Nothobranchius furzeri: one gene and its partners. The protein of the gene in region 1 binds, or shares a complex with, the protein of each later gene. Links are inferred from orthologs where the notes say so. Each region holds a gene or a part of one and is shown in the gene's direction. Other genes may lie near its edges.

Region 1 (3,946 bases):
TGTGGGGTTGCCAATTCTGTGCTGATCTGACACTGCAGCACTGGCTTTTGTAATTCAACACTGGCTGACAAAACGCTCCAGAGTTGTGGAAGGTATGTTGGCCATTAAAGGAAGCAGCCCAGAAGTTATTTCTTGTACCCCTAAGAAGCCTCGGCATCTTTTTGCTTCAATAGGATAAAGAAGGCTAATGGCTAAAGCTGAGCTAACAATGCCAACAGTGAATTAAAAGGACACAGTCGGATGTAAAAATATCTAAAGCTACTTTTTTCAATTAGCAAAAACTCGATACTACAGTGAAATTAATTTACTCATCAGTTTACTGTGTATGACTCGTCTTTGCTCGTCATCAAGACTCTTCTGGTGCTGAGTTGTAACTGGAAATGTTTGCTCAGAGCAGACTCATTTGTTTTAATACAGACTGCAGTACCCACATTTGACCACTGAATGTCATTCTTTCTTCATGCACCTTTAATGAACAGGAGCATAAAGGCACCCTGGCCTTAGATAAGGATCCAGATTAAATAAGAAACATGATACTTTTAAAGGAATACTTTGCTACTCTTTCATATTTTTAAATGATTTTCTTGAGCCAGTATGTGTTGAAACGAACCTTTACAGGATTAATGAAAGGCCACCCAGGCCCTATCGCCTCCTGTGGCCAGCATATTCCACATGCAATTTCAGCTTGTCTGGCCGCCCTGTTGGAACTAAGAAAAAAATTGAGCTGGCGCTGCTGTCTGGTTCCAGCACGTCTTCTGTTGTACTTCAATTTAAATGAAAAGCAATTTGTAATTACAATGACTACAAATCAGACATCGGCAAGTCACATATATGATGTCACCATAGAATCTCCTCTCCCCTAGCGTAGCTTCTACTGACCAAATGGCCAGTTTCATGGTGGTTCTTTCCTCCTGATGGAAGGATTTGAAGTTGGCTGATTTTACAGCCACTTTTCCTCATCATTTCTCCATGTCTGATTTGATTACGTCAATTGGCGATGTGCATTTGTAGTCCTGGATGTATTTTCACACAAAACCTAAAATAACTTTTGCCTCCATTAGAAAATAACAAATTTAGTCCCACTGACTTGCAGTCAATTTTTCGTTCTTCCGGGGACCCATGGTCCGGAAGAAGATGGGCGTGACTTAGGCTCACTATTGAAGCAAAATACAGAAATCGCCATAAAAACATTAATAAAAAGGATCTCTTTCAATTAAACATGTTAAAAACTGTTGTGTCTCATTGGTTTAGCAAAGTAAAAAATACTTAATTAGTTTTGAGTAATGTTTTAATTTACCTGGAGGTTTTTGAAGAAAATCACTTAATTTTTCATAAAAATCTATAAAAAATGTACAGGACTGTATGAAATGTGTTAAAGGCTGTTGTTGTGGGATTGGTCTAGCTTAGTAACACCGTTGGGAATTAGGTTGGAGTATTTTAATCAATTTACCTGTAAGCTATTGACAAAAAAGTTTTACTTATAAAAAAAAGGTCAGATTGTATGAAATATGTTTCTAACTATTGTGCCTCGTTGGTCTAGTTCAGTAAGACAACATGGAATTGATTTTCAATAATTTAATTAAGACTAGAAACTGTTGACGGTCCCTAAGCGGACCACCGCTTTCATGAGCAAGTCCCCGGAACACAGCTGACCGCTGTCTCTCTCTGGTGCAGCACACGGCATGAAAATCTCCGGCTAACTGTGGTGAACTATGAGTGTATATCTGTCAAATGTCCAACATCCAACTGTGGTGCAGCGGAGTGAGGTGACACGAGGCACCCCATACCCTTCTCATGCATGGAAAACTTGGCAGCCCTTGCGAGACTGCTCAGGCCTGCTGAGGACCTAGTGGAGTGTGGCTAGACTGACCTGCAGAGACTTTTGCTCCTGCTACGGTCTCTCTACATTTCTAGGCTAAGGTTGTTGTCGTTTTAATAACAAAAAGAAAAAGCAGTGACAAGGAAAACTTTGCTTCATCTGAAAGGCTAACTTTTTTCTGTTACGTATACATTATCACTACATTTCAAAGAACTGAAAAAGAGAAAATAAACCTTAAAACCTTAGAGAAGCAAGCTGGTGCATTCAGTGAACTGAGACGTTCTTTGGAAGCTTTACCTTTTTTTCAGTGGGGGCTCTGAAGGGCATTAGAGTGAGAAGCCGATGAATTTAGACATAACTTTACTGAAGTTAGTTTCTCTTGCTGTAATACTTTTGTCCTTCTGCAGCAGCAGCAGGCTCAAGCTCAGCAGCAACAGCAGCAGCAGCAGCAGGTTCAGCAACAGCAGGTTCCTCCTCAGCAGCAGGTTTCACAGCAGCAGCAGCAACAGCAGCAGCAGGTTTCAGCCGTGGCTCCTCCAGGTCAAACACAGAACCAGGGTCTGAACATGCAGCCACTGCCCCCTCAGCAGCCCATGGTAAGTATGACTCATAAAAGCCTTTAGTTGTCCTCTGGTCTGCAAAATATAGTAGAATTTTAAATGACCCTAATGGTTGGACATTTATTTATTCAATAAAAAAACTTAATTGTCCAGTATAATCCATAAAAGTCCAGTTCTAATTAGTTTTTCTTAGTTCAAAATAAAAACAAAAATTTAGTGATGTACCGATATCCGATATTAAGATCACTGTTATGGCCAATAACCGATATTTGCCAATACCGATATACTGACATTAATGCTTCTAAAATCAGCAGATTTTGTATAGAATGAAAATTATTAAAGCTGAATTTACGTTATTACCGTAAATCCTCTAATACAGGCCGGTATTCAATTAAAGGCCGGGTCTCCAATTTTGGCCGGTGTCGGAGTCAGCGGAGGTGAATAATGGCCGGTCTCTTATTGTGGCCGGGTGGAATGTGGTAACAAGCAAGTACAAGCATCCCAGCGGCAGGGTTATAGTCCCCAAATCAACCAGCAGGAGCCAATAGAGGTTCACACAGACCTTTATTAGGCTTTTTCTTCAACGCTTTGTAACGCTACAGACACGATCCTCTATCACGCTCCTACCACACAGAGTCACGGTGTCAGTTAACCATGCTAATTCAACCCGCTCCACAGAACACACATCACCTTCCCTGTGGCTTACATAACACTCACACAACACGCAAATCAGCACATAGGAACTAGCAGAACGATAGGAAACACATATAACACAATACCCAGAATGCACCTGGCTTACAACCCCAGCCAGGTCATTACACTATCAAGTTCAAAGAGAACGTGCTGATTATGCTGCAGAACACTCTGGAGAGCAGCAGTAGGGGGTGTATGAACTAGTCAACTTCACTATAGTGACTTTTTATGCCTGTCGCTGTCACGTGATAATGACCGGCAAGGTGCAGCCCTCGGAAAAGACAGCAGCCTGCTGTCAGCAGGTGACAAGCTCCTGCGCTCGGGGGGGGGGGGGGGGGGGGGGGGGGGGCAACGCGCTGTGCCAGACCGTAGGTACTGACACGCGATCGTTCATGTCGGTTCATTTCCTTTAATGTTTTCTGTCTTTTATTTGCGCTTGATGTGTATCGCTGCTGTGGAGCGGGGCGCTTCACCTTGTCCTCCGACGCACAGATCACTGATGCGGCCTCCAAGCAGGGAGCGCTCCGCTGTTTTCGCGGTCGGTAGATCTGCCTCCTGAGCACGGCCACAGTAACAATCAGGTGTCGCCACCTCAAAAACTAATTTAACACGCGATCGTTCATGTCGGTTCATTTCCTTTAATGTTTTCTGTCTTTTATTTGCGCCTGATGCGTTTCGCTGCATGCTGTGGAGCGGGGCGCTGCCCGCATCACCTTGTCCTCCGACGCACTGATCACTGATACGGCCGCCAAACAGCGAGCGCTCCGCTGTTTTTGCGGTCAGTAGATCTTTTAGAACTGCAGTTCAAAGGTAACTCATGAGGTGAATATACATGAACCCAGGTAGCAGTTTTTCTTTAGGATTGAGAGGAGAT
Region 2 (4,521 bases), on another chromosome or scaffold:
GCTAGTGGGAGCTTGAGCCATGGGGAAGGGCAAGTTTAATGGCTACTGGATGGATAATCCCACGTTCGCGACGTGGTTGGCACCGGTTCCAGGCAATAGCCGGAAATTATAGCTTAGATTTGGTCAAAGTGGCCTTAAAAAGGTCTTAAAAAGTCTTAAATTTGGCACCCTTAAACCTGCAGATACCCTGGGAAAAGAACAAAGTAGGTGAGATCATTTTTAACAGGAGAACACATTTCAACATAACACAAACAACTGTATAACTTACCTTACCGACACCCCGGTAGACCTCGGTCACCCTAGGGTCCAGCTGGGGCATTGGAACCCCTGATACCTCAGACATCACTGTTCCCACCTCGGTTTGCTTCTCTGTGATCTTCTCCATGATAATATCAGCTAAGGTCCGCCTGTGATGGTCACAAAGAGGAAAACAGCTGAGTATACGAACATAAACTTAACCTCAAAGTGGACTTTAGCAAATTCCAACAGCTAGAATTCAAACAAAGTTGTGAGAAATCTTGCCTCATTGGAGGGTTTTTATTCATGAACATCTCAATGGCCTTCTCATCATCAGAATCAACGATGACTTCAGTATCACCCTCCACATCACCATCCCCAGCACCTGCTTCTCCCAGAACTGGCCAATCTTCATCTGAGTCAGCATCCTGGGACTCAGGGCCTAAAATAAACAGGTCAGACAACATTAGAAAATATTATTCATGCATTCAGCAAAGACTTATTTCACCTAAATAGTTCTGAGAAGATCACGCTGGGAACTATTTTTCTCTGTGATCGTCTGACATTTTGTCCACATAAAAAACATTCGTCATTAGTTTTATTTTTGCAGAGAAATAAAGGGATGTTGCATAAGTAACACCGTATAACTAATTACAAAAACACTTTCGTGGTTTCTACGCTTGATAAACCAGACTTAATTAAAAAAAATACTGCCAATTTAAGGTCCGAAACCCTCCATCATACCGAGAACAGTGACTGGTGCTTTCCTCTGCTCAGGTGCCAGGCCATACTCGGTCTGCAACTCCTCTTGTTGAATCCGGGCCTGTTGTAAGATTTTCCTTGACAGACGTTCATCCACGTAGGTGTCCTCACTTTCGACCCGGGCGTCTCGATTCTTCACCCGGCCTCGGGCTCGGATCGTGTCCGCCTGGAGGATCTGGTCGGCCAGTGGCACCGCTCCTCCTCCGCCACTCTTCTCTCCTCCACCGCCACCTTTAGCTCTTTTCACTTTCGGCATCTTTCAAGAGTGACTCAAGCTGCGACGACGCTGTCCGTGTTTTGTTTTACCATTAGAGACACAAACAACGCGGAGAAAGAATTCTGTAAACAGTCTGTATTCTACACGTGCAGATTACCGTACGGCGGAAGTGACGATATACGTAACGTCTGTGCACTGAAAAACATATATATAACATACCATTTTATATGATGTTGATTTTATATGTTTGTATGTAACATACATTTATGCAATATGATTATAAAGTTTCTTGAGTTTGTTTTTTAATTTTCTGAAACAAGGTCGTTTACGTGCACCGGAAGTGTAAATGTTAATCCGGAAGTAATTGCTTCACGAGTGTTTTTTGCAGGCGAGAAATCAATGGGTGTTACTTGGTAAGCAGATTTACTTATGTTGTAGTTAAATGCTAACTGTAATAATATTTTTGTAATATATTTTATCACGCTGTGCATATGATTTCGTTTGGCATGTGTAGCTAACTCGGTGAATGTAGCCTTTATTTGCTTCCAAACCGTTTTACACTGAATAGAATAGTGTTTATTGTCGTTGTACGGTGTACAGCGAAATTAGAGTGCCACTCTCTTTAGTGCAAAATGGAAAACTATACAAAAAATAATACAGAAATAATATAAATGTAAAATGAACAGTAATATATATATTAGTTGGGTTCAGTAAGCAGAATTTTAGCATATTGAGTAAACAGAAATAGGACATTCAAATGTTATTGCACATGATCAATTTTGAACAGGTTGCTTCACGGTGTTGTGTTGTTCTTGTGCTGTGCAGTGTTTGCCAGGTGCCCGTGGCGGAGGGGAAGAGTGTCCAACAGACAGTGGACATTCTGCATAAGAAGCTGGAGCAGCTTGGAGCTGTGAAGCAGGGCAACTTCTGTGTAGACTGTGAAACATATCAATCAACAGTAAACGCTGGCGGTAATTTTCAGCTATTAACCATATAAATATTATCATTCCTGTTGTTTAGGTGCTTTAGATGGATAGTCTTCTGCATTGCTATTAATACAACTTGCTGCAGGGGAATTTGTCATATTTCTTTGATTAAATTCTGCTTTTTGAAAATGTTCTAATAATTATGTCAAATATTTGACTTAAACTCAATTGTCCAGGATATGTGTGCCTTGTGACAAATATATTGTCAAGCTATGTAATTTTCATTTTTACTGATCTTATTTCTCTGTAAGGTTAACAAAAACAGTCATCCATTGGGTAAAAATAGCCAGATTAAAATACAGTTGGTGTGTTTTAGAAAGGTTTTCTGTAAATCTTCATTACTATGTTATGCAAGGTTAAATGAGCCACGTTTCCACTGTATCTTTCCCCAGAAGTCAGGAACATTTAAAAAGCCCCATCCACTGCAAGAATCCGCTTAAATTTGTTTAAATGGGACAGCAGTAGCTCAGGAGGTAGAGCGGGTTGTCCAGAAGGTTGCAGGTTCGATCCCGGCTCAGACCAAAGAATTCTGCTGTTGTGTCCTTGGGCAAGACACTTAACCTGCCTTGCCTGCTGGTGGTTGTCAGAGGGGCCGATGGCACCAGTGCTCAGCAGCCTCGCCTTTGTCAGTGCGCCTCAGGGCATCTGTAGTGACATCATAGCTCATTCCCACCAGCGTGTGAATGTGTGTGTGTGAGTGACTGTGTTGTGAAGTGCTTTGGGGGGATGTAGAACCCTGTGAAGGTGCTATACAAACACAGGCCATTTACATTAAGCTCCTTGAAAAATAGTTTTTATTTTTATGTTTTATAAACATCCGCAACCCGGGGTCTATAAACGTTTGATTTGGCATTTATCTTTCTAAGTTACTACTAGTCTTTTTTTTCCAGGTTTCCACCAATGAGTCCATTAGCAGAGCAGTAAATCATGATCTAATTTAGCTCAAGTGTCCTCCAGAAAAAAAGGTGTCTGCTCTCGCATCCCTCATAAGCAACATTTATATAAACAGGACATGGTATGATTCTACTACTTACTTGTGTAATTTTAAACTTAATAAGCATGCTGCTCTAATCTGTGTCCAAAAATAAAAAAATCATGCAAAGTCATTATGCAAAAATTGCATTGTTACATTTTGCTGTTCTTCATGCAATTTCTCACTTTAAGTCTGGGTTTGTTACAGGTCAGCCCTCCAAGCTCCTTTATGTAATGCACAACTCTGAATTTCCCCTGAGCTGCTTGGCTCTGTTTGAAGGAGGACCCTGTTTGGTAGCGGACACAAACTTTGACGTCCTCATGGTGAAGCTGAAGACCCATTTCCAGAATGCCAAGGGACACAAGGTGGAGTGTCGCGGTTCGAGATATCGCTACTGTGACTTCTTGATTAAAGTTGGCACGGTCACAATGAGTTCCAGTGTTCGAGGGATATCAGTGGAGGTGACAGTTTGGTATTATCAGTTAGACCAGAGGCCCATTGTTCTCTTTTTTGACAGGATTAACCCTTGATGTGTTTTCCTCAGGTGGAGTACTGTCCCTGTGTGGTTCCAGGGGACTGCTGGAACCTCATGAAGGAGTTCATGCTGTCTTTTCTTGGCAACAATGTTCCTGAGCTTCCCACTGTATTTGCTGCCAAGCCTGAGGGTCTTTTTGCACCAGCAGACTCTGTCGACACCATGACTCAGTACCTGGAGTTGTTCAACAAGCTACGGAAGTTACAAATCACAGGAAGCAATGTGCACTAATAACATTTTTTAATGATTGTATTGATGTGTGTTAAATGTGGTCCTATGGAAACCGTATGATTTGTATAGTTCTATTTTTGTAACTTCAGTTTTGTATTTGTTTACCCTGATACAGTTAAAAGGAATACAGCTACAATCTATAGATGCAAATGCTCAACACAGACAAAAATAAAGACAAAAATCTACCTATTTCTGCAAGAAGTAAAAATTCCTTACACTCGGTGGGGAAATGTTGGTGTCACAGCAGCAATCATTCACATCAGGAGCAAAGAAGAACAAAATCCTGTAACATATGCAAGAAATTCTTAAAACATTCAATCGAATAAAAAAAATCTGTGCAGATAGACGAAGTTTATAATGAGGAGTGATGGCATGAAAGGAGAAATGTGTAAATAGGGACCTGGGATTACTCTCCGTGCACCAATGGATGCAGCATTCTGCCGCTGTAGGAGTTCCCCAGCTTCATGCATGGGGTGGAAGACATTGTGTAAAAGTGATGCTAATTTAGCCAGTCCTGTATCCCACCTCCTGCACTAGATCAAGGAGAAATCCTAGGGCAGATGTAGTGTCAATAAGCTTA
Region 3 (4,033 bases), on another chromosome or scaffold:
GTGTTTTATTTTACAAATACCATTATAAACACAAACTTACGTCTTAATAAACATTAATTTAATAACGAAACTGCTAAATTCTTTCCAACAGTTTAGATGCGTAGTGATTTTGTCCGAGTGGGTTTGCCGTACTTTGACGTCATTTGCAGTCGAAGGACCCCGAGCAGATCCTGTACCGACACCGGCACCAGAATTTAACAAGTTTACTGTTGCCAGGAAAAGTACCACTCTCTTGGTTCCTACAACCGCTGTGGGAAAAGATTGGAAGATGTCTGGGCTGCGGTACAAGACTAAGAATGGCTTAGCGGATCAATGTTCATGGAAATGTTTCCAAAATAAAAGCTCCGTTATTTGTGTGTGAAGACTTTCTCCATAAATCCTACTTTTACAGCAGGAGTACTGAAACGGTTTTGTGTGTAGGTATTCTCTGAAGAGTATAGACCCGGTGCTCATGGCTCCGACTTGCGTTTTCCTGGCTTCTAAAGTAGAGGTAAGCAAATTTCAGGGGGATTTTATTTTTTTTTACTTTTGTAAGTTAGCGACCTTGTTAAATGAAGAAATCTTGACTGGATTTTGCTCCTTTTGATATCTTATTGTTTTCCTGAGCTAGCAAACCTTAATTATTTTCCTTCAGGAATTTGGAGTTGTGTCCAACACCAGGCTGATCTCTGCAGCAACATCTGTTTGTAAGTGACAGCCAGAAATCCTACAAAATAAAAGTAAAATAACATTTATGCTGAGCAACGGCTTTAGCTTCACGCTTTCTTTCTTTGACAGTGAAAACAAGATTTTCTTATGCCTTCCCAAAGGAGTTCCCTTACAGAATGAATCATGTAAGTGAAGGATTTTTCCTGCAGTTTTTATTTGATCTCCGTTAAGAAAACGTTAAAGGCCGGAAGCATATTGGATCACTTGTGTCTGATTAAAGTTTTGAGTCTTAACTTTCCACCAAGAGACACCGACATCTGCAAAATGCAATGCAGCTAGTAGCCTAGCCACCGTTGTAGTCGGCGAACAGCGGCGTGTGTCGGACGTCCCAGAGGCGTGTTGTAGCGCCGCTCTGCTAAAGTTTATGTTCTGTTTTTTATTTTTTTGCACTTCCTTTACACGTTCAAATCAGGCCAAACATGAAGTCAGACATGGGAGCAGTAGAACACATCTGGCAAATTTCAAAATAAGATGTGCAGATTTCCAGTTGCTAGTAAAACTAGTAAAAAATGTTGTCATTACCCGTGACGCCTCCGCAGCTGAGATAAACAACAGAAAACCAACCACAGACCTTTAAAGCTCCATCCCAAAACTCACACTGCGCCCTACAGACACTGTGAAGGGCACTAGGAGGATGTGCACAGTAAGGCGTTGAGTGTGTGGTACACAAGTGTTGATGTTTATGTATTTAGCAGACGCTTTTGTCCAAAGCGACTTACAAGTGATAATCAGCATGTTGCCCTTGAGGCTAACAACAACCAATTTCCAGTCAGTCGTAGGTGGCAGTGAGGCAGCATGATGAATCATGGAGAGGAGGGAACAAGGAGTGGACAGTAGAGAGGGGGGACGGGTGCAGACAAGGTGCTAGTTAAGAAGATGCTCTCTGAAGAGCAGGGTCTTCAGGAGTTTCTTGAAAACTGAAAAGGAAGCCCCTGTTCTGGTAGTGCTTGGAAGGTCATTCCACATTTGTGGAACGATGCATGAGAAGAGTCTGGATTGTCCTGAGCGTGGTGTAGGCACTGCTAGTCGACGATCCTGTGATGACCGGAGCGGCCGGGCCGAGACGTAAGCCTTTGCAAGAGGATTCAGGTAGATGGGAGCCGTACCGTCTCAGGCTTTGTATGCTAGTGTTAGCAATTTGAATTTGATGCGGGCTGCTAGCGGTAGCCAGTGGAGCTCAATGAACAGAGGGGTGACGTGTGCTCTTTTTGGCTGACTGAAGACCAGACGCGCCGCTGCGTTCTGGACCATTTGAAGAGGTCTCACAGTACAGCCTGGAAGACCAGTTAGAAGGGCGTTGCAGTAATCGAGGCGGGAGATGACAGTAGATTGCACCAGGAGCTGGGCGGCATGTTGTGTTAGGTATGGTCTGATCTTTCGTATGTTATACAGCGCAAAGCGGCATGAACGAGCAACAGAGGCAACATGATCTTTAAAGGTCAGGTGTTCATCAATCACAACACCCAGATTTCGAACTGCCTTTGAAGGAGCCAGAGATAGGAAGTCATTCTGGATTGAGATATTGTGCTGTATGGATGGTTTTGCTGGGATGACAAGTAGTTCAGTTTTAGAGTGGTTGAGTTGGAGATGGTGGGATTTCATCCATTTTGATATGTCAGAGAGACAGTTTGATATTCGTGCAGAGACAGTGTGGTCGTCCGGCGGAAATGACAGATAGAGCTGGGTGTCGTCTGCATACCAGTGGTAGGAGAAGCCATGTGATGGAATGATCTCACTCAGTGAGGTGGTGTATATAACAAAGAGAAGAGGCCCTAGTACAGAGCCCTGGGGGACTCCTGTGGCAAGATGGTGCACGTTAGAAGATTGTCCAAGTCAAGATACACTGAATGATCGTCCTGTGAGGTACGATTCAAACCAGGCGTGTGCTTTCTCTGTGATGCCCATGCTAGAGAGTGTGGACAAAAGGAAGTCATGGCTGACAGTGTCTAATGCAGCCGATAAGTCGAGCAGGATAAGCACTGAGGGTTTGGCAGTCACTCTAGCATCTTTTAAGGATTCAGTCACTGCTAACAGAGCAGTTTCAGTGGAGTGGCCCTTTTTGAACCCAGATTGGTAAGGGTCAAGCAGACAGTTTTGTGAGAGGTATTCTGTGATCTGCTTGAAAGCCACCCTTTCAATGATTTTGGACAGAAAAGGGAGGAGAGAGAGAGGTTGGTAGTTCTCCACATGATTTGGAGGAAGTGATGGTTTTTTTAGCAGCGGTTTAACCTGAGCATGCTTGAGAGAGGTGCAAATAATTGCCTCATCGACCACAACGCATGCCGGGATGCTGGTTAAAAAGAAATAAAAATAAAACTTTAATAACAAACAACCAAACAATTATTTGAATTAATTTATATTCATTGCTGCTCCGTCTAAAACATTCAGAGCATTAATTAGTCATCCTTGAATTAACTACTTTTGTTTGAAAGTACATCTTTTCAGAAAAGGCACTTGAGCCTTTTCTCCTGCAGCAATGCATTGTGGGTAATTCCAGTCACCCAAGTCCGCTATCTTCTTAAGGCCCTGTCCACACGTAGCCGGGGATCTGCCAAAACGTAGATATTTTTCTACGTTTTGGCCTGTCGTCCACACGAAAACGGAGTTTTTTCACACGAAAACGGATCTTTTTAAAAACTCCGGCCAAAGTGAAGATCTGCGTTTTCTCCGTTTTGGGTGTCTGCGTGTGGACAGACAAAACTGGAGTTTTAAGGTCCGCAACGTCACTTTCCGCGACAAAAAAATGCTGACATCACGTGTGCGACCTGTGTTTACACTAGCCGACAGCATGGAAGCCCTCAGAGCTGCGCTCGCTTTATCAATTGTCCAAGCGCTTTCTGCTTGTTTGTTTTTGCAAGTGGAATTACTGCTCCTTGTGGAAGACCACAGACGAAGGACGAGGTTAAGAACGGGGGAAGTACTGCCGCCTACAGGTCTGGCATGTCCTTATCAACGTATTTATCCGGGTACGTGTGGACAGAGTTTTTTTTAAAACGAGGTGGTGTGGATGCAAGTTTTTGGAGGGGCGGATATTCGTTTAAAAAAAACCCGACTACGTGTGGACTAGGCCTTAATCATCTCGCTGGATCAGATGCGTGGAATGCATTTCGCACCGGCTGCACATCTGAACCTTCCTTGCTGATTTATCAGCGTGAAAATATTCTAGGTGAGTGAGGAACTTGTAATTTTTGTTTATTCCAAACATACATTTTGAGCCCCCCCCCATTAATGCACATGCCCGAGGATGACCTAAGCGTCTTCCTCTGCAGCGTTGTTTATGTGATGCTTTCCAGCTCACCAAGACGCCCTCACGCTCTTTCACAGT
Region 4 (4,644 bases), about 22 Mb from region 1:
CTACTAATTACTGAACAAATGAATAGGGAAATGCAGTGAAAAATATTTTGTAAGGATTTTAAATAACTCTAGTCGATCTGTATATGTCTATGTAAATAAATTTTACCTTAATGATGTCTCTGGATATTTGTAAAAAACATTTTTTCTGCCCAAAAACATTTCAGTGTTTGTAAGCAGTGTGATTTGACAAAAGTAAAGGAATGTATTGTACCGAACAGGAAGCAATCACCATGAGTATTAACACTGAAAGACTACCTTTGTTTTCCTGCTGGAGTTCTCTGATCTGACGGTTCTCTTGTTGGATTCCCAGAACCAGACTGGAACGAGGCCGATGTCGCGCAACCTGGTTCAGTGCATCAATCTCTTCCTGGTACTGTCAAATGTGAAAAAATAAATAAATAACGAATCAATAAAAAGCTTCGCCCTCAGTAGTTATGTCCTGTAAACTAAACAGCAGTCAACGCTACGGTTAAAATATTCCATCATTCTTTGGAATGCACTTTACTTTCTTCTTTTGCATTATAGAGTGTTCAGTTATAGAATTAGTAAAATGTGACCCCTGGTGGCACTAAGCTAGTACCCAACAGCACATAAAATAGGAAAAAAAAAAATCACATACCGTTTTTATAGCCTCCACTCTCTTGTTGAGAGATGTTGTCTGTTCAATTAGCATCTCAGCGGCATTGTCGTGGTTACGAAGCCTTTCCACTAATGATTTGGCATCTGCCAAGACCTTCTCTAAACTACAATTCATACCTAAGGAAATACAGAAGCATAAAAACAACTTATTTTTGATTATTCAACAGCTCTGACTTGTTGGTATCAATTTATTGAAAATAAATATAATTAATGCAATACACTACGAATACATGCAAACAAATCAGTCCAGTAAGTACTAATCTTTATTTCTTCAAACTCAGCTCATTCAAAGATCTGTCTACTTCTATATTAGTTGTTCAGAATCTTTTTACAGACAGCCACACGAAAATACATGAACTTTCACTTCACCACACTCTGTAAAATAATAATAATTCACCAGAACGATCGAAATGAGCCATGAATAAACGTTTCTAAAGCTAAAGAACCTAGCTTGAACCTTAAGCCTCCTCGTAGGTGATAGCACGCTAGTTTACAGCCAATAATGCATTGATAGGTCATTTTACTCTAATAAGAGTTTTATTACTTAACATATTTTGCATTTACTGACACAATTTATCACCACAACACTTCATTAATCAAATATAAACTACCGAGGAGTTCATAACACCAACCGGCTGCTATAACTAAACTTGTAAGGTCCACAAAAGGCAGCAAAACTGACAAATGTGTGGTCATACCTGAAGAGTTCAAAGTACAAAACCACTTGGGTTGAGTTAGCTTCTTTACTTCCTGTTGTTGTTTGGTGGCTAACACTGGCTAAAAGCTGACGTTTACTCCGGATTAGATGCTTTGGCGCGTTCCCATTTCCTTAAAGCACGAGAGTAAATATCGCTAGTCATGAAAAAGTCGATTTAAAACCTATCCACATTACAAAAAACCAGCCGTGGGACGGTCACAGCCATCGCTTCAGCTAACTCGAAGCCTCTTGTTTATTTCCGCGAGACGTTAAACTCTCGCGAGGGTCACGTTGGGGAGTTTTTTATTTTATTTACGGCAACATGGCGGATAGGCTAACGCAACTTCAAGACGCTGTCAATTCTGTAAGCAAAACTATTGAAATATCCCGAAATATAATTATTTTCTACGTCAATAGTTATTTTTTTATCTTACACAATTACAACAAATGGATTTAGATAAGAAATATTTGCAGAATTATCGTTTCAGTCTTTTAAATGTAGCTAATCGCTAACTTGCGAGTCTAAGGTTTAGTTAATTTACACAATTTATCACAGCTTTTATGTTTTAACCAATGAACATGGCTTGGTTTAACTGGTAATGCAACTATCAGACTATACTGGCTGTTTATCTATTCTATATTCTTTTAAACAAATGTCCGGAGTTTTAAAACCCGTGTTTGTTTTGTTGCGTGTGAACAGCTGGCTGATCAGTTCTGTGATGCCATCGGTGTTCTGCAACAATGTGCTCCACCTGCTTCCTTCAGTAATATTCAGACAGCAATCAACAAGGATCAGCCAGGAAATTCAGCCGAAGGTTTGTAACTTCAAAGCAAAATCTTTATTTAAATCTCTTTTCTCCCACATTCAGCTAGCCTGACCAGTCATGCATCCTTATGGGAAGCATTAGTTCTCTGTGTAGAATTAAACAGAGGACGAGTCTGGCAGGCCAAACATGCTCACATGCCTGGTGGAAAAATCACTACCAAACTCTCATGGGTTATTTATTTTCCTATTCGAAGAAGCCACAATTTAATAAATTGTTTCAAAAAGGGGTTTCGGGGTTTAATTGTATAAAAGTAAAAATGCTAGTCAACAAGTGAAATACTATTTCCAGGATAAAGTTAAAACGTCAAGAAAAATGTTGAAATTTTAAAGAAAATTGTCAAAACGTCTAGGAAAAAAAGTGTTACCATTTCCAAAATAGCCTGAAGAACTGAATCTCAACTGTACCCTGCCCATCCCCAAAAGTGTCACTTTGTAATATTTAGTTGGACTGCCCTTCACTTTGATTGCTTCTGCAATGTCAAAAGAATTATTCCCATCCTGAGTTGCATTCATTTTTTAATGAGGATCCTGTAGAGATGTTGAACAATCAAACAGTTTTAACAATTGTCATCGCAAAGATTGTCATTGGTGCTCATTGGGTCTGCATCGATATGCCCTGATCTCTTTCATGGTTTGATCCTGATGAATTGTGGAATTGCCATCTTGAGGTTATACAACCTATTTGCCTTGTTAAATCCAGAAGGGATTTATTTTGTTACAGGAAGTGTTGTTCCCTTTTAACTAAAGGGACGTGTTTGCTGAAGACCCTTATTGTGAAAGACTGAAGATCTCCGAGTTCTGCTTTAACAAAAGGAGTTAAAACCTGATATTTAAAGGGACTTTACGGAGTTTTGAATTTTTATGCTAGCGATTGCCCCCTCAGGCCAAAAGTGTAATGGCAGCTTCAATAGTAGGCTCGTGCACGAGGCGCGCATGCTGTACGTGCACACTCCTTTACGAAAATAACAGCTGAGACAGTCCCTTGTGTGTGTGGCCCGGAGGACAGAGGACAGGAGAAGGTGCAGCTAATTAAATAATTTGGTTCTGTACCTTTCTCTTCAGCACAGCCGACAAAGGTTTAAGATGGGTCAGTCCTCCTGCATGCTCAGATCATTCCCTTCCCTTGCTTGAAAAATTGTTCCAAAATGAAAGTTGAACCCACATCTTTTTTATCTGTGAATTCAATGCCGTTCGGCAAGTGTCAAATAAAAATTTGGGCATCTTACTGCAAAAAAATATACCATTAATGTAATGTACATCCAGATTCGAACTCGAGTCTTCTGCACGAAAGTCCGTCGTCTTACAAGGCGAGCTAAAGCGCCAGTGACGTTCCTTGTGTCTGTAACATTTATATCCTTGATGACAGCTGAAACAACGTTCAAAGAACAGTTTGGAGGGCTATGCCTGAGCGTGAACACGGATGAAGCAGCCTGCTCGACCCGAGCAGCTCTCTTTTTCTGTGATTTTACAGAAAAACAGGCAATCACAGTAAAAATGCCAGGGCTCATTCTACAGGACCAGGGCATTGCAGGAGAATGTATGAAGAAGAAATTTATTATTTCTATACATGTTTTGGCTGTCAAACTTCCATAACGTCCCTTTAACCAAATAGTTATTTTATTGAATAGTTTACTGGGTAAAACATTCCTGTAACCGTCGGTTACAATGATGATAAAACTGGAACAAATGCAGTCTGATTCAGGGGCACAACAGGGTTTGTTTTCTTTTTTGGAAGTTATATTTTGATATTTTTCAAATTAAATTGTAATATTTTTCCTCAGTATTTAGACGTAATTATAGATGTTTAGAATTTGTTCCCCACTATTTAAAGATGGTTTCTACTTTTGTCTCTTGTCTTTTCTCAATGTTCTAGAAATAGTTAAGTGTTGATTCTTAACCTTTAAACTTTTTTTTCTTCATCCTGGAAGAAACAAGCTGACTTTGTCATCGACATTATGACTGTAATCTTGAATTTTTAAAATACTGTTGACGTTTGTCTCGACATATTGACTCATTCTTGGGATGTAGCCTTTATTCTGGGGGGAATATTTAGACTTTTCTTGTCATTTGGAACTATTATGTCGACTGTACCTACTTGTTTAGTTGCAGCAATGGCACTAACGCTCATTGCATTCCCTCATGTGTGTTTTCCCTCTCCTCTAGAATATGCACGGCTATTTGCCGCTCTTATTGCCAGAACAGCCAAAGATGTAGATGTACTGATCGACTCTCTGCCCAGTGAAGAGTCCACAGCAGCCCTGCAGGTCGGCACGCTCGCACTCACTTCACTCTTGCTTCCAGTAGGAGCTTCAGATCTGCCTGCATTTATGCTGAAGGAAATCATTCAGACTTCTACTAAAATCACAAGGATTGGTCTCTAAGAGATACCGACTCTTTGAGTTTAAGAAGTTTTACTGAAATAATGGCTTCACTTTGATCTATTTTAAAAAGAAGAGACCCAGTATTATTGTTCATGTTCATA
Region 5 (4,683 bases), on another chromosome or scaffold:
TGGGAACCTGGAGTACCCGGAGGAAACCCACACATGCGTGCCAATACAGTGGAACTGCCCCTGACATGACATTGCAGAGCTGCATCAACCAACAAGGCCCCAGAACATCCAGGGGTCTCATTTATCAAACATTGTGTAGAATCCTTACTAAAACCGTACTTAAGCTCAGCAAAAAAACTGTACTTACGCCAAGAAGGTTTGTGATCTATCAAACATGGAGTACGCACAGCTGCACGCAATCTCCGCTTCATAAATTGGAGACTAACGAGAAAGTTTCTCAGCTGCATTTTAGTCACATCCCGCCCTCACCACACCCACTTACTGCCATAAATAGTCAGTGCAAAGTGCCTTGTGGATCTTATGCATGTACATAAGCCGGCTGTTGCAGCGCTCCGCCAATGACGATGGCGACCGTAGATCAAGGCAGATCAAAGAAGTGCTATTTCACAGAAGCAGAAACTGAGGTACCTGTGGGTGAGGTGGAGAAATGAAAGAAAGCGCTTTTGCAAAACAAATAAGAGGAAATCCATGGAGTGGCACAGCGTTGCTGAAGCCGTCAATGTTGTGAGTTCTTCAGAGAGAAATGGGGCAGATATAAAAAAAAATGGTCCAATTGGGATTCGATCCCCAGACTCCCGGGTGAAAGTCACGCACGCTAACCAGTCAGCAAAACAGAGATCTCCCTTGCCTAAGTAGCCAGGGCACATCATCAATTGGGTCACAGTGACAGGACACACACTGTCACAGACGCATGACATTCTGTCTCAATCTGTCCCCCTGCTGATGTTCTGCATTCCGTATTCTGCGCTTCAAGCTGTGTGTGTGTGTGTTTTTGTGTGTGTGTGCGCACGCGCGTGTGTGTGTGGGTGTGCGCGCGTGTATGTGTGCGCTCGCGTGTATGTGTGTGGGGGGGTTCTTGTTCTGTGTGAAAACGAAGCAGTACAAGTGATAATGCTGCAGGATTTCATAATTGTATCCTGCTCAGCAGCAGCACTGCAGGTGCTCTCCATGTCCAACATTTGTGTAAGCCAGGTCCTTATCCAACTTAAAGTTGCTCACATTTTTCTGCTAAATTTTCTTTTATAAATCCCAAAGTTTGCATGGAAAGTTGCTTACGCAGTTTTCTGACCCCGTGTTATAAGCAAGCTTGATAAATGAGGCTCCAGAGGCTTAAAAAACTCCAGGTGGATCTCCTCTCCATTCAGATCCTTGCCACCAAGGAGCTTTTCATGTTATACACACCCATACACACACACATACACACACACACACACACACACACACACACACACACACACACACACACACACACACACACACACACATACATACACACACACATTGAGTTTACTACATTTGAAAATAATCATAAACTGGGTGTGAGAATGGTAATACGTTCATAAAATAACTTTGAGTTGTTCTGGGACTTTGATCTCACCACCATCAGTGGTCTTTCTGCAGAACTGGGCTCTTTTCTCATGAAAGAGCAGTTTCAGTCTAAAATGAAGCCACAAACAAAACTATAGTTGTGTAAACATTTTACAAAGTAATAGGTAAAATCAAAATGAAAAGGTATTACATTTAGGACACATGTTTTCTCTCCTGAAAAGAATCTGTGTGAATGAGGTTTGGTGATAATTACTTAGAACAGAAGGGGGCAGCACCGCGCTGTTCAGCCTCCTGTCTGCAGAACGAAAATGGCGAAGAAGATGTTTTTAGTGGCGGTCGAGGGTCGTGGCGTCACTTCCGTAGAAAATTACCTAAACACGGTGATGTTAGCTGCTCTGTTGTGTTTATATTTGGTTTAGGTTCGTTTTGTTTCTCATTTAAAGCCTCCGCTGGTCGCAGAACACCATCAGGTCAGTTCTTATCTGCTGCTGACCAGATTCTATGTGAAGCTTGTTGGAACTTTTGGTAAAAATCGCACTTTTCTTGCTAATGCTAATAATGATGTTCATGTTGTGTCTTCGTGATGATGAGCAGGTCTTATTCACACCTGACTCTAGCGTTCAGCTAAGATGAACAAAGTTCTAATCTGCTGTAGGATTTACGTTAAATCATAACTTTTCTTATTTCCAGAGTGGGGCTTTTCTTAACCCTGCAGTGTTTACTTTAGACACTACAGGATGTTTTATACACTTAGCCGCCTATATGTAAAAACAGCAGGCTGTCTCTTATGTGGAAATAACTATGGGATTCAAAGTCCATTTTGCAGGATGACTGTACTAAATAGAAAGCGGTTTCTCTGTTTTTTCCACCTAGACTTGATGTTAGAAGCTTCACAGATAATCCCTCATACGATTGTGCGAAATATAAGGTTATTTATAATAACTTAATACCCAACCCTTTTTCTTATCTTCTGAAATCGTCTTTCCCTTCTTCAGGTTGTTTGGTTTTCTTTTAGAAGTTTTTCCTGTACTTTTGTTGCTTTTTAGTCGTTTGTATCCAGTTTATGCTCTTGATCATAACAGTGTTTTGTCTAACATGCATGAAAAAGTAAGGAATACCATCAAGTGGAAGATGAAGAGAAGTGTCAGATCTCCAGTGGAGGAACAGTTTCTGAAAGTCATCCCTCTATAAAAATATCGAAATCCGTACATGTGGAAGGTCCCTCGGATGATCATTTACTGTATGAGAGCTGCACAGTAGCAGAAATTAAAACATGTATATAGCAGGTTATTATTGAGATTCAAGCAGATCTTTGCTTTACTGACCATATATTTGCTATGTACAGAACAGTTCTATGCCGTATCACATCTTTATAGCTCCTACCTCTTTGGGAACCACCTTGTTGGTGTTGAAATAACACTTTTTGTCTGACTGTTATTTTTGGTGTTTTTCTTAGGTAAAAACACAAAAGAAGCCGCATGTAACAGCAAGCCAAAACAGATTTAGTTTGTTTTCTATGTTCTGTTAATGTCTTGTACCGGTTCAGGGCAAACCAAATAAAAATCATTCTTCTGTTATGGTCCTATGCCGGACAGAAACGTAGCAGAAAAGAAGCCAAAGTCTTAAGAAAACAAGAAAGTTTGGCTGCTTGAAAGCAAAATATGAGGAAATGAAGTTGGACTTGGAACGTTAGCATCCCACTACTTTCCCCATTTAATTATTAAAGTGTACACATGTATGGTTCAGCTCTGTATTCTATCAAGTTGCTGGAATTTGTTTAGATTTCTTCAAAAGCCTTAATAATTTGGTTCATTCCATGATGAGATCATCTTAATGTCCAGATCAGCGTTCATGGAGCCTTCCAGTAAACCTGGTTTCAACCAGGTGGCTGATGTGGTGTTCGTCATCGAAGGAACAGCCAACCTCGGACCGTACTTTGAATCCTTAAGGAAAAACTATATACTTCCAGCAATTGAGTAAGAATTCCTTAAAGGTAAAGGCTGTTAGTCTGTGTCTGCTTTTGGTTAGTTATGGAATAATATTTTTGTTTATTTTATCCGTCATAGATATTTCAACGGAGGGCCTCCAGCAGAAACAGATTTTGGTGGAGATGTGAGTGGTATTTTTATATTGTTTTTGCTGTGAGTTTGGGAGGTATTGTTGTTCAAAAACCAAAAAGACCCTCTGTTCTCTGTTTTTATAGTATGGAGGAACCCAGTACGGCCTTGTGGTGTTTAACACGGTTGAGTGCGCTCCTGAATCCTACGTCCAGTGTCACGCACCAACTAGTTCTGCCTTTGAGTTTGTCTCATGGATCGACAAAATCCAGTAATGCTTTGGGAATAGCTGCAAAGTTCTTAATGCTTAATATCCATTTTTTAATTGAAAACATGATTGTAATTTACTTTTCTTTCTGCCAGGTTTATGGGGGGTGGAGCAGAGAGCTGCAGCCTGATTGCTGAAGGGCTCTCTGTGGCTTTGCAGCTTTTTGACGACTTTAAAAAGATGAGAGAACAAATGTAAACGAGCATTTCGATTTTGATTTGCTGAAAAGAATTTGTCATAATAGTTTGTCGTAATACTTTTCTTAGTTTAGTCAAATTAGAACTAGGATTATGAAATTTCATGTGGAACACAAAAAAAATTTCTTTAATCATTATTTCTGATTATAATTGGTCATTCTGAGTTTTTCATGCTGGCTGAACATGACAACAGTCTCCTACACCTATCTCCTGCATTAGCTTCTGATATAAAATAGACGGTGAAACTCTAGGATTGGAAAATCCACACAGATCTACATCACACTGTCACTTAATGGGCTCGACACACGGGAGGCGACAAACGACCGCGATCAGCGAAATTTGTTGCTGTCGCTTTTATTACCTGACACACGGGAGGCGGCCAGCGCCAAAGTCGTCTACGCGTTCTGTTTCATGGCGAAATCTAAACTTGCGTTGTTTTGCTTGGCTGTGTCAGGTTGGAGGGAATTAAGGTTATTTAATCTGTTCAGAGTTAATAAAGCGATAGATATGATGTTTCACAAGTTACTGTTAGAGTTATGTGAAATCTTACTTGTGATTTTACTATATAAAACATAATCAACTTCTCCTCCATGTTTGCTCGGAGGAGTTTACGGAGTATCCTGTCCGCTCTTTGGTCAGTGAATGAAACCTCCGTTGATTGGTTCTCGTCCGCGACAGCGATGAAAAGTTGAAAATGTTTCAATTTTCTTGGATCGCTTCGCTGGGTCGCCTGTGCACGACACGTGTACGAGCGCAAAATTTCACACGCACG
Region 6 (3,213 bases), on another chromosome or scaffold:
AATAACAAAAGATGGAAAATGTACAAACACTAAAACAATCAGCTGAAAAATAGATGAAATAGAAGCCAAGATAAGCTGTATAAACTGTCTTTTATAACAACTAAAACATTGGAGTGACTTAACTGTAGAGTTGGGCATCGAGCATCGATGGGAACCGGGACCAGGAGTGAGTTTTTCCCGGAAACGCTCAAAGTTTCTTTGGTGTGTTGTTACTGTGTCTAGTTTCTAATAACATTTTGGTTCTTTTTAAAACACAGAAACCTTTCCTGTGTTTTAAAAAGAACCAAAAACGCTCAGTTTTTTATTTCAATTCCTAGATCCTGACCGGAAGAGGAATTCGCAGCTGACCTCCGTGAAAAACAAACGTGATCTGCAAATTCTGATCGGCACTTTTCAGAGCTGAACACACCAGCTGTCTGTCGCCTGCAGAGCTTTCTCTCTGGTGGACCACACCGGGTTATGCCCACTGTAGCCCACAGGGATAATAATATAAAAATAAAAAATGTCACAACACACAGTTGTGACATTTTTTATTTCCTTTTTGAACTATTTAATCTGGTGTGAGTTTTAATGTTTAAATCTGTTAGATTGTTACTGACAGCAGCTACATTCAAGCTTCACTTTTTGTTCTGACTGAATGCTGCTGCAGCACGGAGGTGTCGACTCAGTCATCCTGGACATGATCATCCTGATGGTTTCAGTTATAAACAGCTGGACTTTTCTGGTTATGTTGGAGACATTTAGCCTCTCATCCCAGAAGCTTCTTCAGTTCCCACACTTTGGTTGTGGTCAGAAACAAACACACTTATAACATGTTTTTGTCTAAATGAAAGTGACCGTTACAGAAAGCAATCAAAAAAGAACAAGAAAAACCCATAAGAGTCATGTAGGATCTGAGCTGAGTTAGCCTAATCCAGACGGGAGGAGATGAGTGTAGAAGGATGGATTTTAACACTGTAATGCAGCAAAAATGGGGGGAAAAACAAGAACTCACAGTTGCAATGGTTTGTGTTTATCAGGGAAAGATGAATAAAATGCTCTTTAAATACACGTTTCACTGAATTTTGGGGAAACTTCCTTTAGATTCTTAATAAATTCCAACCAGCAGCTGAAGCACTTTTCCTTTGATCAAACATCAATAGGGCAGATCCATATAACCTATAAAGTATTATTTTCCTAATATCCAGAGGTGGATCTGTGTTAGCTGTGTAAAGTTTCACCACATCGATGCATAAACAAGACCTGGAAAGATGCATTTCAAATATATGAAACCACGGGACAACCGTCTCACCATTAGTCTTGGGCCCGACCGATATATCGACCTGCTGATATTATCGGCCGATATTGGGGTCATTAACAGTATCGGCTATCGGCTAAAAAGTCGGCTGATATGGCTGATATTGCGCTACCTACCCAGCAGATGGCGCCAGCTTTATGAATAAGTTTTGTGAATACTTCACCAAGTTAACTTCCACAGAGTGTTACTTTGTTACGAAGCACAAGTATTACGTTTTATTTATTGCTGCATTTTTATTATTTTAATATTCTTATAGGGATCTTCTGTCCCTAAACTTGTGTGTTGTTAGATTCCCCAGAGTTAACCAAGTCAGAAAAAACATGTTGTAACCAGTTGTTTTAGCATAAAGCAATGGAAGGGAAGGCTTGCATTCACCTACATAAAAACACTACAATGTGTGTGAATTCACTTACATTGTTTTATGCTAAACACGCAGACACACGGAACAGATCATATTGGGCTGTTATAAAATGCTTTTTCTGACTTGTCTAACTCTGGGGAATCTTAACAAGACACAACTTTACTGAGTGATGGAATGTTCCTTTAAGTTAAAATGTATTAGTGGAAACCACAGTTTACAAGAAAAACTTGAATGTTAGATTTATGCTGTGACTGAGTTTGTGTGTTCTGTTGTTTTTGAGATCTGCTAAATAAATCTTATTTGCATTACTTGGAACCCCTAGTGAGTTATGGAGACAGTTCTTTGGTGTGTAATAGAGAAATAAGTTTGCATCAAAAAGACAGAGAATGAAGGGTTTAAGCTTAAGAACATTTTTATTTCTTTTTTTTGTGGGGGAGATAAATCGGCCATTATATCGGCTATCGGCCTTTGTTAAAAGTTTTATATCGTATCGGTCCCAAAAAAAGCATATCGGTCGGGCCCTAATTACGTCCTCATCAGATTCAGTACATCCTTCTGTTTTGTCTCCCAGATGTCCTGACACCTCACTACCCATGGCAATCTTCAGACGTCTCTGTTGGGATGCTGCCTCCTCACCATGGTAATGACTTCGGCTTGGAGCCCCCCGGTCACAACAAGGAGAACGAGGATGATGTGGAGGCCATGTCCACCGACTCATCCAGCAGCAGCAGTGATTCAGACTAAAAGTGTGTGTGTGTGTGTGTGTGTGTGTGTGTGTGTGTGTGTGTGTGTGTGTGTGTGTGTGTGTGTGCTCAGTGATCACATGGTTAAATCTGGTGTAAACATGAACATACTCAGCTTTGTAAATAAACATCTTTTGAATAGATCATGAGTGTATTCTTTATATTTTTATACATGTGTATATAACGTAAGATGATGTGTTTCATATAAAAGCTAGCTAAGATGCAAGTTAAAGTATTGATATGCACAAACGCCTAACTGGTTTGAACAGGTTTTATCTTAGATGAAATGTGACTGACTGGAATGGTTTTTCAGATCGACCACACCCAGTCAAACCAGTTTCATTTTGAGAATGTGTTCATTCACCTTTTTGTTCCTTTTGGACAATAGCGTATTTTTGTTTTTGTGAAGTCTTTTTTCTGACACATTATTGTAAATATTGATGTAAAATGCAGAATTCACATGGGGATAACACCACTAATGCACGTTAGCGCCTAAAATGCATCCAGAGGATGGATAACATGTACAGGTACTTCTAAAAAAATTAGCATGTTGTGATAAAGTTCATTATTTTCTGTAATGTACTGATAAACATTAGACTTTCATATTAGATTCATTACACACAACTGAAGTAGTTCAAGCCTTTTATTGTTTCTAATATTGATGATTTTGGCATACAGCTCATGAAAACCCAAAATTCCTATCTCAAAAAAATAGCACGTTTCATCCGACCAATAAAAGAAAAGTGTTTTTAATACAAAAAATTCAACCTTCAAATAATTATGTTCAGTTATGCACTCAATACTTGGTCGGG
Region 7 (4,596 bases), on another chromosome or scaffold:
TCTCTTTTATCAGAATTTTTATTTTGTCTTTCATTAATTAATTTATTTAGTTTTTTAATACTGTACAGCTCTGTGGTCAGCTGTCATGCTGTTTTGAAACGTGCTTTATTAATAAACATAGCAAGGTATTTTAATAAACACTTTTTATTTCTGTGTTTTTATTTAATGTTTTACGTTTTCTTGTGGCGCTAACCTACATGGATTAGACTCTCTTATGAAACCCAGAATTAGCTCAGTAAATCAGGCTGACCTCTATTGTCACACCCTCTGTTTGTGAGAACAGTTACATTATGTAATCATCAGAGTGACACCATCTTGTCATAGAAAACAAACAAACAAACAAAAAATGTTCTCCACAAACACATCAGGGACACATTTGGGAAGTTGGGGACAGTGTCTCCACCGTGTCCTCCCCTCCAGCCTCACATCAGAGACATGTAATCCCACACTTTGGTCATGTGAGAACAAACTTGGCCAAACAGAAAGGCTAGTCTCTGTTGAGCGCTTCCGACCGCCATTACATTACAATGCGTGGTGGGCTGGACGATCGTGCGCAAAAAGGAAAAAAAAAAGAGGCTTCAGCGCTTCGCGTAAAACACACACACACACACACACACACACACACACACACACACACACACACACGCATTCACACCGATTCACACTGAGGGTGGCACATCCAGGCTGCGCGCACGCCCATCTAGCCGTGTAATAACGCACTCTTGTCTGACAGATAAACAATGAGGAAGGAGTCGCTGCGGTTGAGGAAATCATGCACATGCTGGAGGATTTAAACCAACAACGACCCGACCGCTTCTCGAGAGGCAGGAGCACGCGATTCGGCCGAAGCAGTCTGCAGAATGCAACATTCGCCTTGTGTTGGGATCGGCGCCAGACGAGGACGGTCACTTTTGCTTGAAGGGGAAGAAAAAACCCAGAAAACCTGTCTGATATTTTTTTCTGCAACACTGAGGCTTTTGTGGCCGTGAGAGAGGAGGTTTCGTAAGCTGAAAGGAAGGAAGGATTTTTTCAAACCTCCATCTACAGCCTGTTTTGTCGTTTTCCTGCTCGGTGGAGTGTTAGACTTTTTTCGTCTTGCCTTTGACTCATGATTCGGGGTTATTTATTGCTGGAAACCCGCTCGAGTTTCATTTTTTTGTCCACGGAGGGGAGCAGCGTGAGGAAGGAGGAGGAGGCGGAGGAAGGGGGGAAGGTTGTGTTTCTTTTTTAGCGGATCGTCTGCGGCGCGTTTGATTCAGGAGCAACAGAGGGATTAAATATTCCTGCTCGCATGCAGCAGCAGCGCCTGTTTGTGTGAGCCAGACTGGCTTACATTGTGTGAGAGAGGAGCGGTTGTGGCAAGAAAGGCGGCTATAAATAGCGCTCGAAAACTATCACAAATGGTGCATCAGCTTTGTGGAGCACACGGAATCACGTTTCCTGCGTGAAATAACCATCGTTTCCAACTTTGACGCTTATTTCACCCCCATTTTTTGAGGATTTGTGGATTTTTGCCTTTTGGATTATTTGGAAACTGATCACATTCCTTGTGTGTGTTTATGTGTGTGTGTGTGGATTGAAATGGATACTGTTTTGTTGATCAGATTTGGAATGACCTGGATTGGACCAATGTTGTGATCCCCTCTCATCACACTCACGCGCTCGGATTTATCAACATTTATTATCTTATATGTATTTTTGAAGAAAAAAAATTGGATTTAATGGATGCATCGCTGTACACATCTCTCTGAATACGCCCATTCCCGAGTCTTTTATCTTGAAGCCTGACTCTTAAGGGAACCCATCTGTCACCCCTGCTCGGTGTTGAGATACCGATGTAGGATTTCGACATGCCCTGCGCTGGCGACCCCAAAGGCGGACGATTATGACTGCAACGGCGAATTGGGTGGCTAACGGGGCAAGCCTTGAGGACTGCCATTCCAACATCTTCTCTCTGGTACGGTATGAATAAATCATGCTCAGCAGCTATAGACAAGTCATAAGACCCATGGGAGGCACGCTTAAATGTGTGTCTGCTGTACAAAGGTGAACCAATTGCTGATGTTGTTATTAGACAATCATTAACATGGGTTAGTGGTGTGGGAGACCAAAATAAAGCCACTATTACCACTAAACCTGCGGATCAACAATAGCTGCTATTTATATTTATCTTTTCCCAAATGCTCTAGTTTAGCAGCTACAAGAAGATAATTTATTGCCAAATGTCCACGCGTTTGTGAAATAGGATAACAATGCATGCTTCATTTTGCCAACTGGAAAATCGTGTCTAAAGAAAAGAAACAAAGATTTGCATCAACAAGGCACACGACGGAAGCAGCCCTTTCACAGAATCAGAGAAAAAAACACGTTTTTCACACTACATGCGGTGTCATTTTTGCACAACTCATCGCTTTTGAGGTTGAAGGAGGCAGAGCAGTGTGTTTTCACAGTTTTCCTCCTGCAATCAGCGAGTTAACTGTCTTACCACAACAGGCAGCCAAGTGGAAAGGCATGCACTGAGCTCAGGCAAGCAGGGCTGCTGAGAACCACAACAACATAGGGGTCCTGAGGGCTTTTCAGGTGATCCTGCAGGTTGTGGACCATGTTACGCCAATCGCCGCCACAAATTGTGGCACAGGGGGCTTGAGAAAGCTCCTATGAATGTTTCATTCTAGTCTCCAAGGTGAACGAGCGAGAAGAAATAGATCTTGTGTGGTTTCCCGTGCACTGACACATGCTCTCCGGTATCAGACATCTTAAATTTTCTCAGCTTGACAACAACAGAAAACAGTGATTGTGTCTCTGTCACCATCTCATCTGAGGCTATTCCCTCGTGGAAAAAAGCTTTCATTCACTCACCGAGGCTTTATTGGCCATCATGAACATCCCTTTCAAACTGAGGGTGAAAGAGACCATCCATCAGCTGGCTTGTTGAGAATATTTATGACTGGCAAGTGCTTCGGCGGTCTAACTGGCAGGGTTCCTGCAGGGTAGTCCAAATAAGCAATGACACACACACACACACACACACACACACACACACACACACACACACACACACACACACACACACACACACACACACACACACACACACACACACACACACACACACACACAATTCCTGTAAAAATGAAACAGAGATAAAGACACTAACGTGCTCATTTAAAATGCATTTGGATGTGGAAATAGGGCTGGGTTCAACGGTTAAAGAGGATTTTCTGTTAAAAGTGAGTTTATTTAAAACAGAAGCAGCTCACACCTTAGTTTTTAAACTACGATTCTCATTTCAGTCCTGTTCCTAAGTGCAGAGATAGTCTGACGTCCTACAGACGCGCTCTGGACTGACGGACTCTGCACTTCCATGCGACGTTGACTGTTTGCAAGGAAAAACTTCTCAAGGCTACTAATAAAACAGCACAGAGCACATGGCTAATTGGCATCTTTGCTGTTCTAATGTGGTTTGATATGGTTTAGCTCCTAATTCCTCTTTTCACTAGGAGAAAACTAGAAGATAATTGCATTTGTAACATAATTTCCCTCGTTAGATCATGGACACTTGTTAGAGACATTACAATCTTTATATTCTCATCATTATGGCAGTTTTTTAAATTAAAAACAAAAAAACGCTGATGGTTTTGACATTTTATTTGGGTTAGTAATTAAAAAGAGCCGCAGAATAGAAATATTTTGGATTCTAACAAACCATTAGTTGATAGGGACATATGTTAATAGGCTAATTTCTTGGGTTTGAGCTTAATAAATGATAAGAAGACAGGCTCCATGGTGGGAAATTTCCTAACCTTTTCCTGTGAGTAACAAAGGTTGTGTTGTTATAGATAAAGGTCTTCAGGCTAGCTGTTGAGCGCTCTCCTCTGACAGCCTGTTTAACAGCATTCAAGCATGCACGGACCTTGTTCCTCTCATTTGCTCACTGTTATTGCAACTCACAACAGCAAAACACACAAACAAAAACAGCTTATTAGAAAGCATAAGTGCTCATACTGTGGGACTTTAAAGGGACATGGCAGATTACTGTCGTGCACTCTGCGTGGCCAGCGTCGGATACTTGGGATGGCTGCAATCGCAGTACCCACAAAACAACTGTCTCCTGCGCTGGCGACCAACCATCTGTGACAGAAAGCAAACTAGACCCTTGTAAGTGTGAGTGTGTGCATGTGTGTGTGTAGGGGGTGCAAAAAAAGCAGAGCTGGCATGATGAAGGAGGGGGGAAAGGGCACAGAATGAGAGGAGAAACAGAGTGAGGCTTTTCAGCAGAGAAGGACTGCAGCAGAATCTGTTTTCATTTTAGGAACGTATTATGACTGATGTACATTTCCTGACTGCAAGCCTCAGCCTATTTGAGAGAAACTGAGAGTGAAAGAGTGAGCCAGAGCACGGAGGAGGAGGGGAGGGGGAATTAAGGAGGGAGAGCGTAATGAGAGAGGGGAAGGGAAGACAGACATCTTTCTGTGGACTGCGTAGGTTCCTTTAACAGTGACTCCCTGCCTGATTATGAAAGGCAAGGAGGAGACAGTTAAAGGCCTCTCAACACAGGAAGCCTCTGTGTGTGTGTGTGTGTGTGTTTATACTGAG

What was found.
Region 2: med12 (region 1) and med20 share a complex: the UniProt entries of both Homo sapiens proteins name them as parts of the mediator complex. The link is inferred for Nothobranchius furzeri from reciprocal best matches to the Homo sapiens genes MED12 and MED20.
Region 3: the proteins of med12 (region 1) and ccnc are in contact, whole or in part, in a cryo-EM structure (PDB 8TQC), measured with the Homo sapiens proteins. The link is inferred for Nothobranchius furzeri from reciprocal best matches to the Homo sapiens genes MED12 and CCNC. Residues at the interface, in NP_005111.2 of Homo sapiens: Ile6, Leu7, Ser8, Tyr9, Glu10, Pro13, Leu14, Lys15, Arg18, Leu19, Pro22, Asp23, Val24, Tyr25, Asn47, Pro49, Ala50, Val51, Asp54, Glu55, His56, Gly57, Ser58, Ala59, Lys60, Phe64, Pro66, Ile69, Asn72, Phe73; in NP_005181.2 of Homo sapiens: Gly3, Asn4, Phe5, Trp6, Gln7, Tyr11, Ile15, Asp17, Gln19, Asp20, Lys23, Gln49, Glu53, Leu57, Arg58, Gln59, Ile62, Tyr153, Arg157, Pro158, Gln161, Tyr162, Asp165, Leu173, Pro174, Trp177, Arg178, Ile179, Asn181, Asp182.
Region 4: med12 (region 1) and med21 share a complex: the UniProt entries of both Homo sapiens proteins name them as parts of the mediator complex. The link is inferred for Nothobranchius furzeri from reciprocal best matches to the Homo sapiens genes MED12 and MED21.
Region 5: med12 (region 1) and med25 share a complex: the UniProt entries of both Homo sapiens proteins name them as parts of the mediator complex. The link is inferred for Nothobranchius furzeri from reciprocal best matches to the Homo sapiens genes MED12 and MED25.
Region 6: med12 (region 1) and med4 share a complex: the UniProt entries of both Homo sapiens proteins name them as parts of the mediator complex. The link is inferred for Nothobranchius furzeri from reciprocal best matches to the Homo sapiens genes MED12 and MED4.
Region 7: med12 (region 1) and mediator of RNA polymerase II transcription subunit 13-like share a complex: the UniProt entries of both Homo sapiens proteins name them as parts of the mediator complex. The link is inferred for Nothobranchius furzeri from reciprocal best matches to the Homo sapiens genes MED12 and MED13L.

What each region holds. Positions count from the first base shown.
Region 1 is NC_091741.1:82,329,883-82,333,828, forward strand, and holds part of med12 (mediator of RNA polymerase II transcription subunit 12), read left to right. Parts: intron 1-2,226; coding exon 2,227-2,415; intron 2,416-3,946. UniProt on the Homo sapiens protein: Component of the Mediator complex, a coactivator involved in the regulated transcription of nearly all RNA polymerase II-dependent genes.
Region 2 is NC_091743.1:46,651,202-46,655,722, forward strand, and holds med20 (mediator of RNA polymerase II transcription subunit 20), read left to right. Parts: upstream 1-1,523; 5' UTR 1,524-1,615; coding exon 1,616-1,629; intron 1,630-2,041; coding exon 2,042-2,187; intron 2,188-3,382; coding exon 3,383-3,636; intron 3,637-3,719; coding exon 3,720-3,941; 3' UTR 3,942-4,130; downstream 4,131-4,521. Other genes in the region: bysl (bystin), read right to left, coding at 269-407, 523-679, 982-1,255. UniProt on the Homo sapiens protein: Component of the Mediator complex, a coactivator involved in the regulated transcription of nearly all RNA polymerase II-dependent genes.
Region 3 is NC_091742.1:26,782,380-26,786,412, forward strand, and holds part of ccnc (cyclin-C), read left to right. Parts: intron 1-420; coding exon 421-490; intron 491-634; coding exon 635-686; intron 687-777; coding exon 778-833; intron 834-4,033. UniProt on the Homo sapiens protein: Component of the Mediator complex, a coactivator involved in regulated gene transcription of nearly all RNA polymerase II-dependent genes.
Region 4 is NC_091741.1:59,846,626-59,851,269, forward strand, and holds the start of med21 (mediator of RNA polymerase II transcription subunit 21), read left to right. Parts: upstream 1-1,608; 5' UTR 1,609-1,658; coding exon 1,659-1,700; intron 1,701-2,036; coding exon 2,037-2,151; intron 2,152-4,325; coding exon 4,326-4,426; intron 4,427-4,644. Other genes in the region: fgfr1op2 (FGFR1 oncogene partner 2 homolog), read right to left, coding at 256-373, 620-754. UniProt on the Homo sapiens protein: Component of the Mediator complex, a coactivator involved in the regulated transcription of nearly all RNA polymerase II-dependent genes.
Region 5 is NC_091745.1:8,284,084-8,288,766, reverse strand, and holds the start of med25 (mediator of RNA polymerase II transcription subunit 25), read left to right. Parts: upstream 1-1,733; 5' UTR 1,734-1,859; intron 1,860-1,893; exon of another isoform or gene 1,894-1,914; intron 1,915-3,230; 5' UTR 3,231-3,240; coding exon 3,241-3,365; exon of another isoform or gene 3,366-3,382; intron 3,383-3,455; coding exon 3,456-3,501; intron 3,502-3,592; coding exon 3,593-3,717; intron 3,718-3,809; coding exon 3,810-3,908; intron 3,909-4,683. UniProt on the Homo sapiens protein: Component of the Mediator complex, a coactivator involved in the regulated transcription of nearly all RNA polymerase II-dependent genes.
Region 6 is NC_091754.1:35,372,677-35,375,889, forward strand, and holds the end of med4 (mediator of RNA polymerase II transcription subunit 4), read left to right. Parts: intron 1-2,229; coding exon 2,230-2,402; 3' UTR 2,403-2,544; downstream 2,545-3,213. UniProt on the Homo sapiens protein: Component of the Mediator complex, a coactivator involved in the regulated transcription of nearly all RNA polymerase II-dependent genes.
Region 7 is NC_091746.1:54,299,357-54,303,952, reverse strand, and holds the start of mediator of RNA polymerase II transcription subunit 13-like, read left to right. Parts: upstream 1-1,692; 5' UTR 1,693-1,885; coding exon 1,886-1,957; intron 1,958-4,596. UniProt on the Homo sapiens protein: Component of the Mediator complex, a coactivator involved in the regulated transcription of nearly all RNA polymerase II-dependent genes.